3 linked regions of the Drosophila melanogaster genome follow. Changing the gene in region 3 together with the main gene of any one other region gives a genetic interaction. Each region holds a gene or a part of one and is shown on either strand. Other genes may lie near its edges.

Region 1 (4,850 bases), about 17 Mb from region 3:
GGCTCACAAGCAGTTCTACTGCAAAAACAAGCCCATTCGCCCCGAGGCCAGCGACAGCCCCAGTCCGAATCACCTGGGCGGAGGCGTTGCCGTGGGCCTGGGCATTGGCGGCCTGGTCGGCGGACACGGCCAGCAGAAGAACAAGGAAAACCTGCAGGAGGCGGCCATTTGAGAAAGCCAGCTGCGGTGGGAGGCGCAGCGCAAGCAGCTTGAGTGGTATTACACGTGCTTCTAAGCAGCAGCCCAACCCAATCGAAACTAATCGAATCCTAGCCTCCTTTAAAAATGTACACTATCCAAACCGCAACCAACCATCGACGACAGTATTCCCGGAAAATCTCCCGTCGCTGCCCTCCACTTCCAACTCCATTTGGGGACTGACTCCTTCGACTTACCGATCGATAGAAGTAGATATATACATCGTACTCCCGTACATATACAGTACACCTAAAGGAATAACACATAGATACTTAGGTACATTAATTTAGGCGCATACCCATTAAGTGGGAACCATGACATATAATGCATGCCAAAGCTTACCACTTAGACAGAAATTAAATTGAGGGCGAGAAACTACAAGTTTGCAATGGTCTGCGGAGTAGAAGGAGGCGAAGTATTCCAATGTAGATCCAATACTATAATGTAAATTACTCGCTGTTCCCCATAAAGCGAGCAATTCTAACTGTGTAATTTAAATGAGTACATTATTTATTAAGTGTGTGCGACAATAAAAGTAATTAATTTATTCAATATAAAATATAGTGAAATTAGTAACTAAACGACATTTTACATTTTTGAATTCAACGAACGATTTGAGTGCTGCCAGATTAGCGAAAAATGTTATGACGACATAGTTGCCAGATTGATTAAAATATTGTCAAACATCGGACATATTACCGGATCAATAGAAAAATATTGTGGCATCCCTAATAAAAGAACCGTTAGATTAGACCAGGCATCAGATAGATCAGCTGATCGTTGGTAGCCTACTAGAAGTTCTGTTCGCCTGGTACTCAGAATAGAGCATGCCCACCAAAACCAAGACTTTGGGAATCCTGGCGGTTGTTTTAAAAACACCTTTCCACGCTTATGCTTCCCTGGTAATTCAGTTCGAAATATATGAGCATCCTCGGGAAAAATAATAAATTCAGCTGTCAGTATGCCGGATTCCCCAGACTGAAGTACCAGGCGAACACAAATCTCAGTAGGTGTTTTAACTGGGCATTTTTCAATATGGCGGCCTCGTTGGAAATGAACCGTTAGCTGGAAGCATTGCTATATCAGCAGCGAATGCTACCAGATCAGCCAAAAATTATGCATAGTAATGTTGGCGGACTTGCCAGATCAGCTGAAATAGTTGGGAAATGTGACCAGCTTCAAATGCCTAAAAATCAAATAAAATATAAAGGTAAAAATGGACTGAACAAGTTTTTAAATAAAATGCTTAAATTTAAAAATAGTCATGTTACTTAAATAATAAGCAAAAGGAAGAACTTTATATGGAATAATTCAAGCACTAAATCCAGCTGTACGGCTACTGACGACCAACAAGTGCTCGACTGCACATTTGCTGGGAAATCCTTTCCGCTTTAAAATGCATAAGCTTTTACAACTAATAAATTTTTATTGAAATTACATAGGTTTGTACGTAGTACTCGCGATACAAAATAGCCCGTAGAATAATCGGCACCTGCACCCAGAATGGAAGCTGAAAAGAGCGTCGAATTCTGGGTGCCACGTGGCCACTTTGGGCCTCATCGAAAAATTACAGGACTTATTTGTATTTATTCAGATGGTACATGCTGGTAATTAAGCAAGTGCAGAACATTAAAAAATTAGATGCTTCGGGCCGCGGGGGCTATCCAAAATTAGTCGATTCTTTAAAAGTAAGTAGACGTGGAGAGCATTCCAAACAAACGCTTACCGGCTAGATGTGTGTATTTGTTAATGTCTATGTGGTAAAGGTGGTTGGCAGGAGCCCGACTACTCAGTGGCCGCCATGGCGCGGGCCTGGGCACGCACGCGCTTCTCGTACTCCAGTCGGTTCTGGCAGTAGATGGTGTAGGCCTCCGCCTGGGCTGGGTCCTTGATGTTCGGCTCGTTGAGCAGGTCCTGGATGCCCAGCAGGATTTGCTTGATGGTGATGGCGGGGCGCCAGTCCTTCTCCTCGTCCAGCAGCGACAGGCAAACAGTGCCCGAGGGATAGACGTTCGGGTGGAACAGCGGCGGTTCGAACTTGCACTTGGGCGGCGAGGTGGGGTAGTCGTCCTTGAAGATCATGCGCAGCTTGTAGAGCCCGCCCTCCCAGGGGGTGGACTTCTTGCCGGGAATGGCGCACTCCCAGATCATCAGGTTGAGGGTGCCGTCAGGGTTCTTGGCGGGTCGTGCGACGAACCCGAATGGGTGATCCTTGCGCCAGGCCTTGCGCTCCTCCCCCAATCGTGTAATAGCAATGCCGGACATGGTCGTCGCTGCTTGCTCGCTTCTCTACTGCCGCCCGAACGTGTCCTCGAGTCCTGGATTTCCGCTAGCAGTCCCACTTGGCCTTTTTTGCACGCGCGTCTGTCTGCGAATGTGTGTGTGTGGGTAAGTGGCCTACGAGGGGCTTTGTCGCCTTTTGGCGCGCTAAGTGCAAGAGCACCTACCTCTCTGTTCGTCCTTGCGTCTCCAGTGGTTCCAAGCAAATTAATTATTTGCAATCGCGGGGGGAACTCGCGCTTTTCGCAATTTTTACCGCAATTTTTCAGGAATGAACGCTTGTGCTCGCTAAAGGTATAAGTTTTTCTACACAAAGGGTCTCACTATGCGGTTATCGATATTTAGTGTGGCCGTGGATAAACAGTGGTATTAAAATACTGACTTTTTCAAAGCACTTTTGTATTATGTTTTAAATTTAAAAATTCTTTGGATTTTGGTAAGCTCAACTTAAAATGTATTAGGTTTTTCTCTTAAGCCGTTACATTCCTAAAAACCCTCTACTCAATACAAAACTAGTTTAATTAAACGTTAGAATTAAAATTTATTCGCATTACTGTTTACACAAATTACTGCATTAGTTTTAAGAAATGCAATGTAGAATTCGTAGTCAAAATTGCACTGTTTACAAAAATTGGAATATATTTGTATCTAAACTGTTCTTAAACATATAAGCCTCCTGTGCGGAGCCACAGAAATATTTGAAATACATATTTAAATTGATTGCGGTAAAAAAGTCGAGGGAACATTTTCTACAATTGTAACCTAACCGAACTAAATAAGATTGTTGTGCCTGGCCAAGGAACGTACATAACTAACTCAGTAAGTGAATCGTCTTTTGTAGCGGTGTTAGTCCATATGAGCTATGGACTGCGGTAGATGGAGAAGCCATATCGAAACGAAAGGGAGCTTGGCTAGCTGCAGAAGACATTTACGATGGAACGAGTGGGGATGTTGTTCGGATGTTGCGTCCTCCCGGCTCTACTTGCCCTTTTTCGACTCCTTCTTTTTGCTGCCGGACGAGCTGACGCCCTCGTCCTTCTCCTTCTTCTCCTTCTTTTCGGGCTTCTCCTCGGGATGATCTTCATAGCTGCAGTGGGGGCGAGAATGAGTTAGTTTAGTTTCAAGTCGAGCGCCCAGCGCAGTCCACACTTACGCAAAGAGCACCTTCAGCTCGCCGCGGATGAGGGCCACCAGGAGGGGCGTGCCCATGCAGGCTGGCACCAGGTAGAGCAGAGCCGGCTGCGCATGCTTGAACACATGCATCACGAAGATGGTGGCCAGCAGGCCAAGGAAGTAGGCAATCAGCGTGGAGTAGAAGTAGATGCGCGTCTTGCGCTTCTTGCTGTCGTCGAAGCGCAGCAGCAGAGCGATGAAGATGCCCGGAATAACGATGTCGCCTAGTCCCAGCATTGCGAAGTTCGAGGCGTTCAGGCCGTTCTCGATCAGGTCCTGGGGGAACACTAGCTTGATGGGCGCCTCGAAGCTCTTGGCCACGGTGACCATCACGTTGGTGCCGAATACCCAGAAGATGTCGTAGAAGAACAGGCCGCTCAGCAAGATGACGCCCGTGACGAAGTTGTTCAGGTGCAGCATCTCCACGCCGTTGATGGCGAAGGCCAGACCGAACAGATTGTTGGCGATCCAGTGCTTCTTGAGCAGGTACCACACTCCGATCGCCGAGGAGATCACCAGGCAGACAATGTCGTGCGTGGAGAACTTGTAGTTAACGATGTCTTCCTTGTGCTTGCCCTCCCCCTTAGTGAACAGGATGTGGAAGGGCACCTTCGGCACGGCGGCGGGCATCAGCGAGTTGATCACCGGACTGAGCAGGTGCGCCAGAGCAATAACTCCCAGCACGAAGAAGTAGCCGGTGAGCAGGTAGTTGATGTGCACCTTCTGGAAGATCTTGAAGAACAGGTACAGCCCGAAGAGGGCTGCCGACGCGATCAGCGGGAAGTACATGGCGTCTTTCTTGGTCATCGTGTCCGCCTTCTCGCCCGTTGACTGCAGGGAGTGGGAATTACGGGAAACATGTTAATGCAGCTTCCGGGCTGAGTCTGCTTCACATACCTTCTTCAGCTTGTGCAGCTTCACGGAGCGGATGGAGCCGAAGATGATGGGCAGCATGGCCATCACCACCAGGCTGCTGTAGGCCACCGCCATGCCCTCCGGAGTCGAGGGCTTCTTCTCGCCCGGCGCCGACTCGTTCTTCGGCGCGTTCACATTCTCGATGATGCCCTTCAGCACCTCCTTAACGGTTCCGATGACTTCCTCCGCCATGCTGTGCTGTCCAATCCAATCCGTTCCTGAAAATCGCCGGCTTGCGGGGGTGAAAAGCGAAATGACACGCAGCAGCACACGTCAACAATCTG
Region 2 (5,320 bases), on a different chromosome or scaffold from region 3:
TGTTTCTTTATTCAAATGAGAAAATATGTGGCTGTGTCACAGGTGAGGAGTAAGGCCTAATTGGCCCTGCCACACGGGGTTTATTATATCAACATTTACTCGGCTTCATTTGCTATGTCTCATTCTCGTTCTCATATTCTGGCGCCATCTGTTTGATTATGGAAATCGATTAGCCAAGTCCATCTAATGAACTAGACCAGAGCACAGGACACGGATCAGAAAACATGTCGCGACCGAAAACTTCATGAGGGAAAACTCCTGCACGCAGGTAGGGCCAAAAAAAAAAAAAAATAGTAAGAACATAAAGGGAACTGGGACGGGGACAAACAATGGAGAGATAACCCAAAGATAGACAGAAAGTGGAAAATTAATGAGATTTTTCGTTTGTGCAGCTGATGAAGGCATTAGGGTGAAAGCAAGTGCAACGACTTCATTTCCCTCCACCGAGAGAATGTCGCAGTGGGGAACTTATGGTTATTCCTCCCTTCACGATTTTATGGTCAGCTGAAGCAATAAAATTGAAATTAATTAATTGAATGCAAGGCAATAAGCCCTGTGACTGGTCAGGCAGTTCTATCTCAGTTCAATCTGATTGGAGAGTAAAAAACCTCACACGTTGAAATCACACGAAAAGAAATGAGTTGTTAAAAAAAAACAGGTGATAACAATACGGTAAGTATGATATTACGCTATATAATATAAACTTGTACTATATTAAAACGTGTTTATATTAGTCATTATAGTCATCATATAAGAATGTAGTATGTAATTACATATCACTTTAATAACAGATCTTATAGATACAATCTTCAGATCTTCAGTCTTGTTTTTTTTTTGCGTGTATTTGTCTCCCATTTACGTCACGGATCTGGTTTGACTTTGGGTTAAACCGCCCGCTGATCTGAGATCGGGAGAGTAAGACATATGGTGGTTCGATCGTAACGCTCTTTTCAGCTTAGGAGGCTGACTCATCACGCTGAGCGGACCACAAGTCATAGAAACGCTGAAAGCCGACGTGCTAATTATCAACACAAGTCGCCAATAACTAAGAGTGAAATAGCAGAAAGCTAAAAAACACTTGGCAGATGTAAAAACCAAAGCGGAGTCAGCTTTGAATATTGTTTTTCTGCCTTTTCGCTTATCAACCGAGTGGACAAACGCCCTCAATAATGAGAGGGGGAAAAATAAAGCTAACAACTAAAAAAGCGAGTACAATGAATCTTAAATGAGTCTCTCATTGTGCAGAAATATTTATAACAAACGTGTTTGTATGACAATTCATTTTGGGCAACTTTTACCGCCTGCAGTTGGACTAGTGGCGGTTTGGCCATAACAATAACGGAGCCACAATTACAGCTACTTTCTAACGTGGCCAAGACGAAAGACCCAAGCGGAGCATCTTGAACGTTTGCAGTTTGCCGTTTTCCACTTCATTTTTTTCGTTCACTTCTTTTTTTTTTGGCAGAAGTTAAGTAGACTGTTAAATGACTTCCGCAGTTTTACCTTCACAGACGAAGACTAGCATTTTTTTTTTTCAGTTTGCCGCCATTGTTATAGCCGCTTTGAAAGCTTCTTTGCCTTTGATGTGGGCCAAAGAAGAAAAATCTTAACCTAAATCCAGAGTACAGTTATTCGGAAAACCCTCAGGCGAAAGAAGCTCAATGGCAGGATGTTAACTATCGGAAAAAAATACAATCAAAATTTATATATATTGTATAATTATTGTTAAAACAGCATTGTTCTTGAATTCAAGACCTGCTGCTTCTGAGCGATAATCGTTGAACTTTTGGGGTTGAATCTTGGGGTTTTCCGAATTTTTCATATAAATGTAGCTAGTGGTCAAGGGCTATCAACTAAGAAGAGATTTATGGTGTTGGAAAACCCAAGAAGAATCGAAATGAATTAAAAACAAAAGTCTAAGTTTATCATAAGGTCATACGATTTTTACCATAATTGGTACAAGCGAGAAGATTCTTGTCCCTTCCTTCTTCTCTTATTTTGTTTTGCTGTTTCTAATCAGCAACTTATTAGCTTTTAAAGCACAAGTGGGCATTTTCTGGTTTGTTAGAAGTACTTTTGAAACCTGCATTACCCAGGTATTTCCACCTTCAATACGAATAAAAGTCCCCGCAATGAAAACCTGTTGAACGAAGCTCTCTTTGGTAGTAAATAAACTTTTGTTGTGTCTGTTTGTTTTTTCGATTCCAAACTGGTTTTTGGCCAAAAATTCAAAGTGTTAATATGCTGGCTCGTGAGCTTTGGGCCAAATGCGTGTGGCTTTGTTTTCTTTTTTGTTTCGTTCATGGGTTGGCCAAAACGCAAAGCACACCCCAAGGCCGAAGAGCACTTGCTGCTGCACTGCAGCATTTTGCACATTTCCCTGGAAAGTGCCGAGAAAAACCACGGAAATTGTGGACAACAAGAGTGTGACACACACAAGCACTGGGGAAAATTGTGCAACGGTTACAACTGCTGAAACTGTTATTCATCGCCAATTTGCACAGGAAAAAATACGGTTTTACGCAGAGTACTAGTAGTAGTAGTAGTAGTAGTAGTAGTATTAATAGATCAATTTAAAGATGTTTACAAATATTTTACAGCTCATTTTATGTACTTTAAATTGATTTTATCTGACTGTGATCAAAACTGGAACAAAATGTCAACCAATTGCCCGATGAGCCATCAATTTGGTAAATTTTTTTCTGTGCAATTATAGGCGAATTGGACTGATCAGAGAGTGGGACAGAGATAGCTGAGCTTAGCGCGAGCCAAGCGAAGCTTAGCACAAAGCAAAATCGAATGGGAGATAACGAGACAGAGCGAGATGGCACGGTTCAAAGTGTAATAACTGAACAAGGAGACGTAAATACTTACCGTTTTAATACGTGTTTTATTAAATGTGAGGTTAGCTACTCCGCTGCGATCTCTTGTGCAAATATTAATATTTATTTGGCTTTTCTTAAGCTGCCACGAACAAACACGCACTGGCACTGTTGTTTAGCTTCTCTGTTCGCGCTTGTTCGCACTTTGAAGCCGCGATTTTTTGCGATTTTATTTTTGGTTAAATGCTTGCTACACTTTCACACATTTGCATTTAATTGCGCCTTGTGTTTCTTGTTTTTATGGATTTTGTGCTGCGTAGCGTTGCTCTTAACTTGGCTTATTCGGTTGCCAAATCGCTGGCCACAAAACGAGACAAACAAAAGCGGCCCACAACACACGAACGCGGGACTCTGGCTGGGAAAATCAAAAATCCAACTGCTACAAGCGCGACAAGCGTGCGTTCACGTCGGCGATTCGGAACAAACTGAACTCGACTCGAAAAGAAAGAAGAACTGAGAGATGAAGAGCTGGTAGTGCGCTTAGTGTGGAGGGAAAGACGAGAGAGTGGCTGAGTCGGCGGCAAGATACCCTTTGCTCAATATAGAAAACATTATTTACTTAAATTTGTAATCAGCCTATTAATATATTTTATTTTAAATTTTAATAATTTTGTCACAGTCTTTATATGTTTTATATCATTTTGTTTGCTTTTGGTTCCTTAAGCTCCAGTTTGTTAAGACATTTTAAATTATTATTATATTTTTTATATTCTACTTTTAATAACATCCTATCTTGCTACTTTTTTAACCTTAAATAACGTGTGAAGTTATTTCTATAAAGCTGTTTGGGTTTTATATATAATCAGCTTATTATAAATAAATATGAGTTGGATAAAAATGCTAGTCTCGAAATTTTTTTATATTTTTGACGTACTGATAAGAATTTTTAGAACAACAGTTCTTGTAGCAATAACACAATGTGATAATATGAGGAATCGAGCTTTCAGTTGATTTATGTTAGTTGACTAGGATTTTTATAAAAAATAAAATTCTTTCCCTAACTTCTGAGTGGCAAACGATATAATAAGTCGAGCAATTTCTTCTACCCCACAAATACCGTTCGAAGGTACAGATGCGTGGGAGAAAAAGAGAGAGACACACGAATTATCTTCGTGTCTGTGGTCGTTGCACTATAAACAAATCGCATGCGATAAAAGTCATGCGAGAGAGGAAAACAGTTGAAATACAGGTACTTCGTATAAGAGTATAAGAGAAAGTGGTAGAGCAAGAGAGCCTTCTACTGTTTTGTTTTCATTTTTGGGGGAAAAGCCGGCAGTTGTTGTTGGCCAGTAGTTCTCAGTTCTTGTTAGCCAAGTTTAACCGGTTAACTTCAAAGTCTAAGCATCTCAGGCAGCATACGTAATAACAGTGATTATGGATTTATTAGTTGATTAGTCTCTCTCTCTGAGTAAAATGTAAAATGTAATTGCCAGCACGTAGCAGACTGCTTGCTGTTGTTGTTGTGTGCCAATTAAAACCACACTTCCACAACATCTACCCTCTCGCTCTGCCGCTTGCGACTCAAATGAAGTGGAAGTGCGTTCTGCTAATGCGGAACAAGGATGGGACATAGCTCCCGGGGGAGCAGCGTGTGAAGTGCGACAGGGACGGGGAATGGGAAATGCAAATGGAAATCGTATCCCTCTGCAACTGTGTTTTCTGTAATTATGCACGGCGTATGGAAAATTAGGACATGCTTATGAATAATCTTTGAATTCATGTACAATTTTCATAGCAATCTTGTGTTGATTCCATTTCCCAATTGGTAATTATCTAAAGTCTTTGAAATTTAAATAAATTTGTTGAAATATTACAACAACAATTTTAATGTTTACTACTAGGCTTACACCACAATTTTCAAGGATTTAAGATGTTTTCTTTCCAAGCAAATAACTTTACGTCAAATCAAACAAAGCAACGCAAATCTGGATAAGCTTAATAGGCAACATAATGGCTACTTCTCCCCGCAAAGATGCATTAATATACACATTTGCCACACTGCCCGTGTTTTTCATTTCAAATACCTAGGATTTACTGTAAATTTCAAAGATATTACCGAAATATGCGCATGTAATTCTGACCGAAAGGAAATTCCAGTAATTTCCCATTCAATGTACCCACATGGGAAAACCCAGCGCACAGGACACACATCGGGAGATTTATTCCTCATTTGCCTTGTTTTATGTTAGCTGCAAAATTTCACTTTGAATTGTGCCGAAAATTTAATTTGATTTCATTTTCATCAGTGGAGAAGCACATAAATAGTGCAACAAATGAAATTTGTACGTGCCACAGATGCTGGAGGAACCAAAGGCAGGCCCACATGTGTTTCAGGTCCAGATTTGTGACCATTTGTGCGTGGTTGGCCACGACACGCAGAGCCATAAATTTCGGATTCTCAATAAACTAATGGCAATTGGTATCCGAAAGATACATTC
Region 3 (4,947 bases):
CACCCATTTGCAGTCAAAAGTTAAATTGTACAGCCAATCGATTTTCATTGCCTTTCAAGCAAATCAAAGGAAACATTTTTGCAGTCAAGTAAATAATGCCCGAGCACCCCAAAAACATTCCCAGAATGCCGAGCCAGACCACATCGCACCAGACCTCATTTACCCAAGCGTTGGAGCCATTTCCATTCTAATGGCCAAGACAAATCGTTCGTACGTACATTCGCTTTCAGCCAAGAAAAACGACCGACACGCGATGGCCGAAAATTGGAGGAAACCGCAGCATTTAATTATTTTGCTATAAAACTTTTCACGATTCAATCAATTCAGATTCGGTACAACATGGCGTATGCGTAATGGGATTCAGCTATATTTTTCCCCGCATTGTTTGTAAAATTGTGTGGTGGCGTGAATTGTTTGTAGAACTTGGGCTTTGGTTGGCGATGTAAATGTGAATGACAGATCATTTTAAAGTTTAGTTGGTTTTTGTTCATGCGGAAAATGAAAAGAAATATATATAAGGTATAGTACTCAATCTCACGCCGGGTTATCAGGGAGACTAGAATATAAAGCCCCGCTGGGATTTTCTTCTTGCTGATTAAAGTTCAAGTCTTATCAGTTAATTGAAATAAGTTCAAAGCAATTGCATTTGCTCTCTTGGGTTTTCCGAAAAAGTGTACAAGTATTCAATAAACTGATCAAGCTGAATTGACTCTTGAAAACAAACATAATTAGTATAAGTTTGTTATATTATTTTACAGTAAAAATAGTTTTGAATCGATTACTGGTGGGTGAAAATACTATAGCTTACATGAAGCTTCTCATTGTGTATTCTTTAAATTTTAATTTAAATTTTAATTTAAAGAATAAGTAATTCAAAGGTTTCTGATAATTCTTAGCAACATATATTTAACCAGCTCTATCCAGAGTTCATCGTTTTGACCGTTTCTCAATTGTTTACCAATTAGACTTGCACCCTACACACAAATGTGTGTACAGGCTGTGACCTTCCTTCTCCCGCTGGCATTTAATTTACAATAACTTTCAATTCGGAAACAAGTCTGCTTAATACAATTGGCAAAGTTATAGCTAGACTGCGACTTTATACTGTATGTAAGCAATCGCACACACATGGACCAAAAGGTGTGAAAAGTGCGGACTTTGTTTGTGTTTTATTTTCTACAATTACCGAAAACAATTCCGCTGCCGTTGGCATCATCGGTTCATCGCCCAATACAAGTTAGATAGCTGCTGGCTGGGAGCAGATAAATCGATATTTGAGTAAGTTTTGACCATGACTGTTCCATTTCATTCTATTTTTATGGATTCCGAAACGGCCAAATGGCCGAATGTTTTGCGTGCGGATAAGGCAAAAGTCTTAAAGACTTTATGCCATTTCGTGTCTTTCGATTGCAGTTTCAGTTCCACGGTTCAGGTTGTATATTCCTTTGATTACAAATGAAATAAACGAAATCTTCCAGATGCCACCGCAAATTTTTATAAACTTTTGCCGTGCCGATTTCAGTTGTAAAAATATTTACATTTTGTTAATATAAATATTTGCATTTGCTTCGATTTTTTTTTTTTTGACCATTGAATTCCTCTTCTTTTTGGCTCCTCTTGAGCAGATTTTCTTTCACATTTGGAAAGTTATTTAAAGACTAACTGAGTAGCTATATTCTTCCAATTTTTTATATCAACGCCTAAATTATTTCCAATACAACAGCTTGAAATGTGAAAACGTCACAAACAGCTTTGGCACTATAATTTTGAGATAAGAGTTATAATGTTTATAATTGCATACATTATTGCTCTTGGGAGGAAATGTCTACTCTAGGGTGCAGTTCCGGCATATGTTATGTGCAAATGTACAAATCTGAACCAGTATGTTAATGATTTTTCGTAGTCGACCAATAAAACAAGAAAGAAACACTGGGACTACTAGTAAATGTCGTACTGAGTGTTATTCTCTTTTAATAAATCGCAGTCAACCGCCTTTCTTGTTTTCATTTGCATATATTATACGCCTGTTGGGTTGCAAAACTGCAGTTACACTAGCAGAAATATATATTTGCTGATAAGCAAAAACATACCATATTTTAATAAATATTTACGAAGTATTGCACAAAGTCTATATTTAATGTATTGATATAGCTATGCCTATAATCTTTCGGGTGTTTAGGTTCAAATCAAACAGGAAGTAGATTAAAGAAGTCACAAAAATATTTAAAATATTTCCCGCATGGACAAAAAAAACAAAATAAAAATAATACACTAAAAATTAAAATTTTTTGTCGTTTTTTTTTGCGATTACGCAGTCTAGTGAACCCGGCCGTATTCCCGTTTTTCACTTCACTATTAATAAATACAAATTTCATTACACGTGGCATTAGATAAGTAATTGCCCGCATCGGAAAATTGTGTACTTATTTATGTATCTGGGATTAAAATTTATGAATTCCGCCGAGTTGCTGGCACGTAGTTTTTTGCAGTGCCATTGCAATCGAACCTGACACGGGAAGCTGTCTGTACCTAAGTTTCTAAAGCCGCCTTCTGGACCGGGGACTTTACAAACTACGCCTTAAGCTAGCTAGCTGACTATAGTTTCAGAAAATTTATTATAGCTAACCTTTTATGGTGTAGTAGGTAGGCTGCTTTAAATGCTTGATTAAATTTGGATTCTCGATCCGAATGCACTGGGTCAGACAGAAATCGAATTAGCTCTTTGTTGTGTTGACACGTGTAATTGATTAAATTTGTCTTTTATGATTGACTGGTTTTCGGTTTATGTGTCGGACTTATCGCGCGCGACTCACAAAAGGCGCGCCAAAAAAATTATGAAGAAATTGAAAACAAAAACAAAAGTTGCTCCCACAAGCGACGTTGTTGCTCCGCTCATGTATTTTACTTTTGAGTTTTGTTTAATTTTTGCTATTGACACTGCAGCCGCCTGTTTAGAGCGGACATTGATTTATACACACATCTGTAGTTTACGTTGTAGTTGTCGTGCTTCGTATAATTAACCAATACACTGGCAGCTATATAGTCGCGTGCGACTTGCACAATATGCGTTATATGTACATCTATATGTATATATATATGTATGGATATCTATGTGTGAACAAGTCGGCGCTTCACGTCCGTCGGCGGCCAAGTTCAGATTGAAACTGAGCGGTTCGCTTCACACTCGGCTGCAAGAGAGCTTCGGAATGGCTTCGATAGCTCAGGCTCCATTCTCAGCTGTTCGCTCTCTGCGATCGCATGCATTCGGTTCGTATACTTGATACGTATACGTGATACGTATACGTGATAAAAAGTTACCGCTGCTGATATGATGGTTGCTGATCGCAACTGACGGAGGGTGCCAATATCTGTTTTTATTTTCGAAACTGCTTCACTTTTCCTTTATTTATTTTCATTTCCGTTGTGCGTACTCAATGTTTCGTTCTCTCTAATGTATTTGTGTTCAAGTGCGTTCCTATGACGCCATCGAGCAGAAAAAATGGTTATAGATTTTTAAGTGGATTTGGAAAAGTGTTGAGATTTTTATAACGCTCTGCAGGTGTTCCAATTTCGATTTTCGGCTATAAGTAAACATTGATTCCCTTACAAAAAAATGTGTACTTTTTGCTGGGAATGAAAATTTATTGTTATGAATGGTTTGGAAATATCATAAAAATTCAAAATACCTAAGATGTTATTTCACATGAACTCTTTTCTCATTAAAAATTCGTTTAAAATAGTGCACAGGTTTCTGGACAAATCAAGATCAAAGGTTTATTATAAGATCAGATAGGAGGAAAAGTTTTTCTTTATGTGAATCATTCGCCATTCTGGAATGAGAAGCCGAAAAAAATCGACAACTATTAGCCAGATGCATAACAATAGATCTATTTATCTAATATAGGTATGACAGCTGAATGTTTTTATTGATTTTCCCAGGAATTGACAGACCTGAAACGAGTTCGACCCTCGGCAAATGTAAATTATAAAATCCATACAACGTTGCTAATTCACGCCAACAAAATTCCCAAATGAGACCGAAAAAAGATTCGCCAACGTCTAAGGTCGAACTGAGTTATTAACTCAATTTTTGGCTTCTGTTCCATAGACAGATTTTAGTCATTGAAATAAACACAAGTGCAGACCAAACACGTAGGGGAAAAATATTTGCAGTTAACATTGCCAATCGGGTGGAAATATTTCATTATTGTTGTGCATGAATGAAAATAGTATAATTTATTTCTGCTAGCCCACGAAAATTTCGAACTAAAAACACAGTTTTCATGTAGCGTGGGCTCGTCTGCGGACAAAATGCATTTTGGGAGCAAATTTCCCGGCCGCAATTTACATCTATATAGGATTGCAACAAAGCCAAGAATACCTCAGGACGTGCAAAAATAAACTAAACTATTTCAGCTCTGGGGTTTGAGAAATTTTAAGTTAGGAAAACAGATATTTATTTATTTAGCAATTTATTGAGCAAATATGAATATTTAGATATAGATGAAAATATAGTACGACAATTTGTATAACTTTTTGAACATGTTATTATCAAATTTACAATTGTAATCCACACTTTTATTCTATTATTTTAAAATTTCTTGCTCTTTATGGCTAGGGATCACTGTAGAAGGATTTTAGTTGCGATTGTGCTTTTAGCCATACATGTATGACAAATGCCCCATGACGTAGTAGCCACTTTCAGTAAACATATCAGACGTCACAGAAATCTCCAACTCTTTATTAAGCTCCCCGAAGAAGAAGAGAAGAAAAAAAGGGGGAGAAGTCAAAGACTCTACCCCCGCCCAAACAACTCCCCCTGCAATTCTGGCACATTTGCGCTTCAAGGTCACGCGCGTGAGCGGGAACGAGAGGGAGAGAGAGAGCGAGGAAGAGAGAATGCAGAAAAACAAAGCCAAGCCCCAAAGAAATCGTGGAAGGGGGTGG

The links. Genes that interact genetically often act in the same process or in processes that back each other up.
Region 1: of Dif (region 3) and lwr, changing one suppresses a phenotype caused by changing the other (phenotypic suppression), as found in Drosophila melanogaster (2 studies listed by BioGRID).
Region 2: of Dif (region 3) and Tl, changing one suppresses a phenotype caused by changing the other (phenotypic suppression), as found in Drosophila melanogaster (3 studies listed by BioGRID).

The regions. Positions count from the first base shown.
Region 1 is NT_033779.5:539,785-544,634, forward strand, and holds lwr (lesswright), read right to left. Parts: upstream 2,797-4,850; 5' UTR 2,646-2,796; intron 2,596-2,645; exon of another isoform or gene 2,567-2,595; 5' UTR 2,464-2,566; coding exon 1,984-2,463; 3' UTR 1,925-1,983; exon of another isoform or gene 1,453-1,924; intron 1,385-1,452; 3' UTR 815-1,384; downstream 1-814. Other genes in the region: ush (u-shaped), read left to right, coding at 1-172; Spp (signal peptide peptidase), read right to left, coding at 3,457-3,565, 3,632-4,482, 4,549-4,758.
Region 2 is NT_033777.3:26,797,035-26,802,354, reverse strand, and holds the start of Tl (toll), read right to left. Parts: upstream 3,315-5,320; 5' UTR 2,875-3,314; intron 1-2,874. UniProt on the Drosophila melanogaster protein: Receptor for the cleaved activated form of spz, spaetzle C-106. Binding to spaetzle C-106 activates the Toll signaling pathway and induces expression of the antifungal peptide drosomycin.
Region 3 is NT_033779.5:17,425,030-17,429,976, forward strand, and holds the start of Dif (Dorsal-related immunity factor), read right to left. Parts: upstream 3,171-4,947; 5' UTR 2,627-3,170; intron 1-2,626.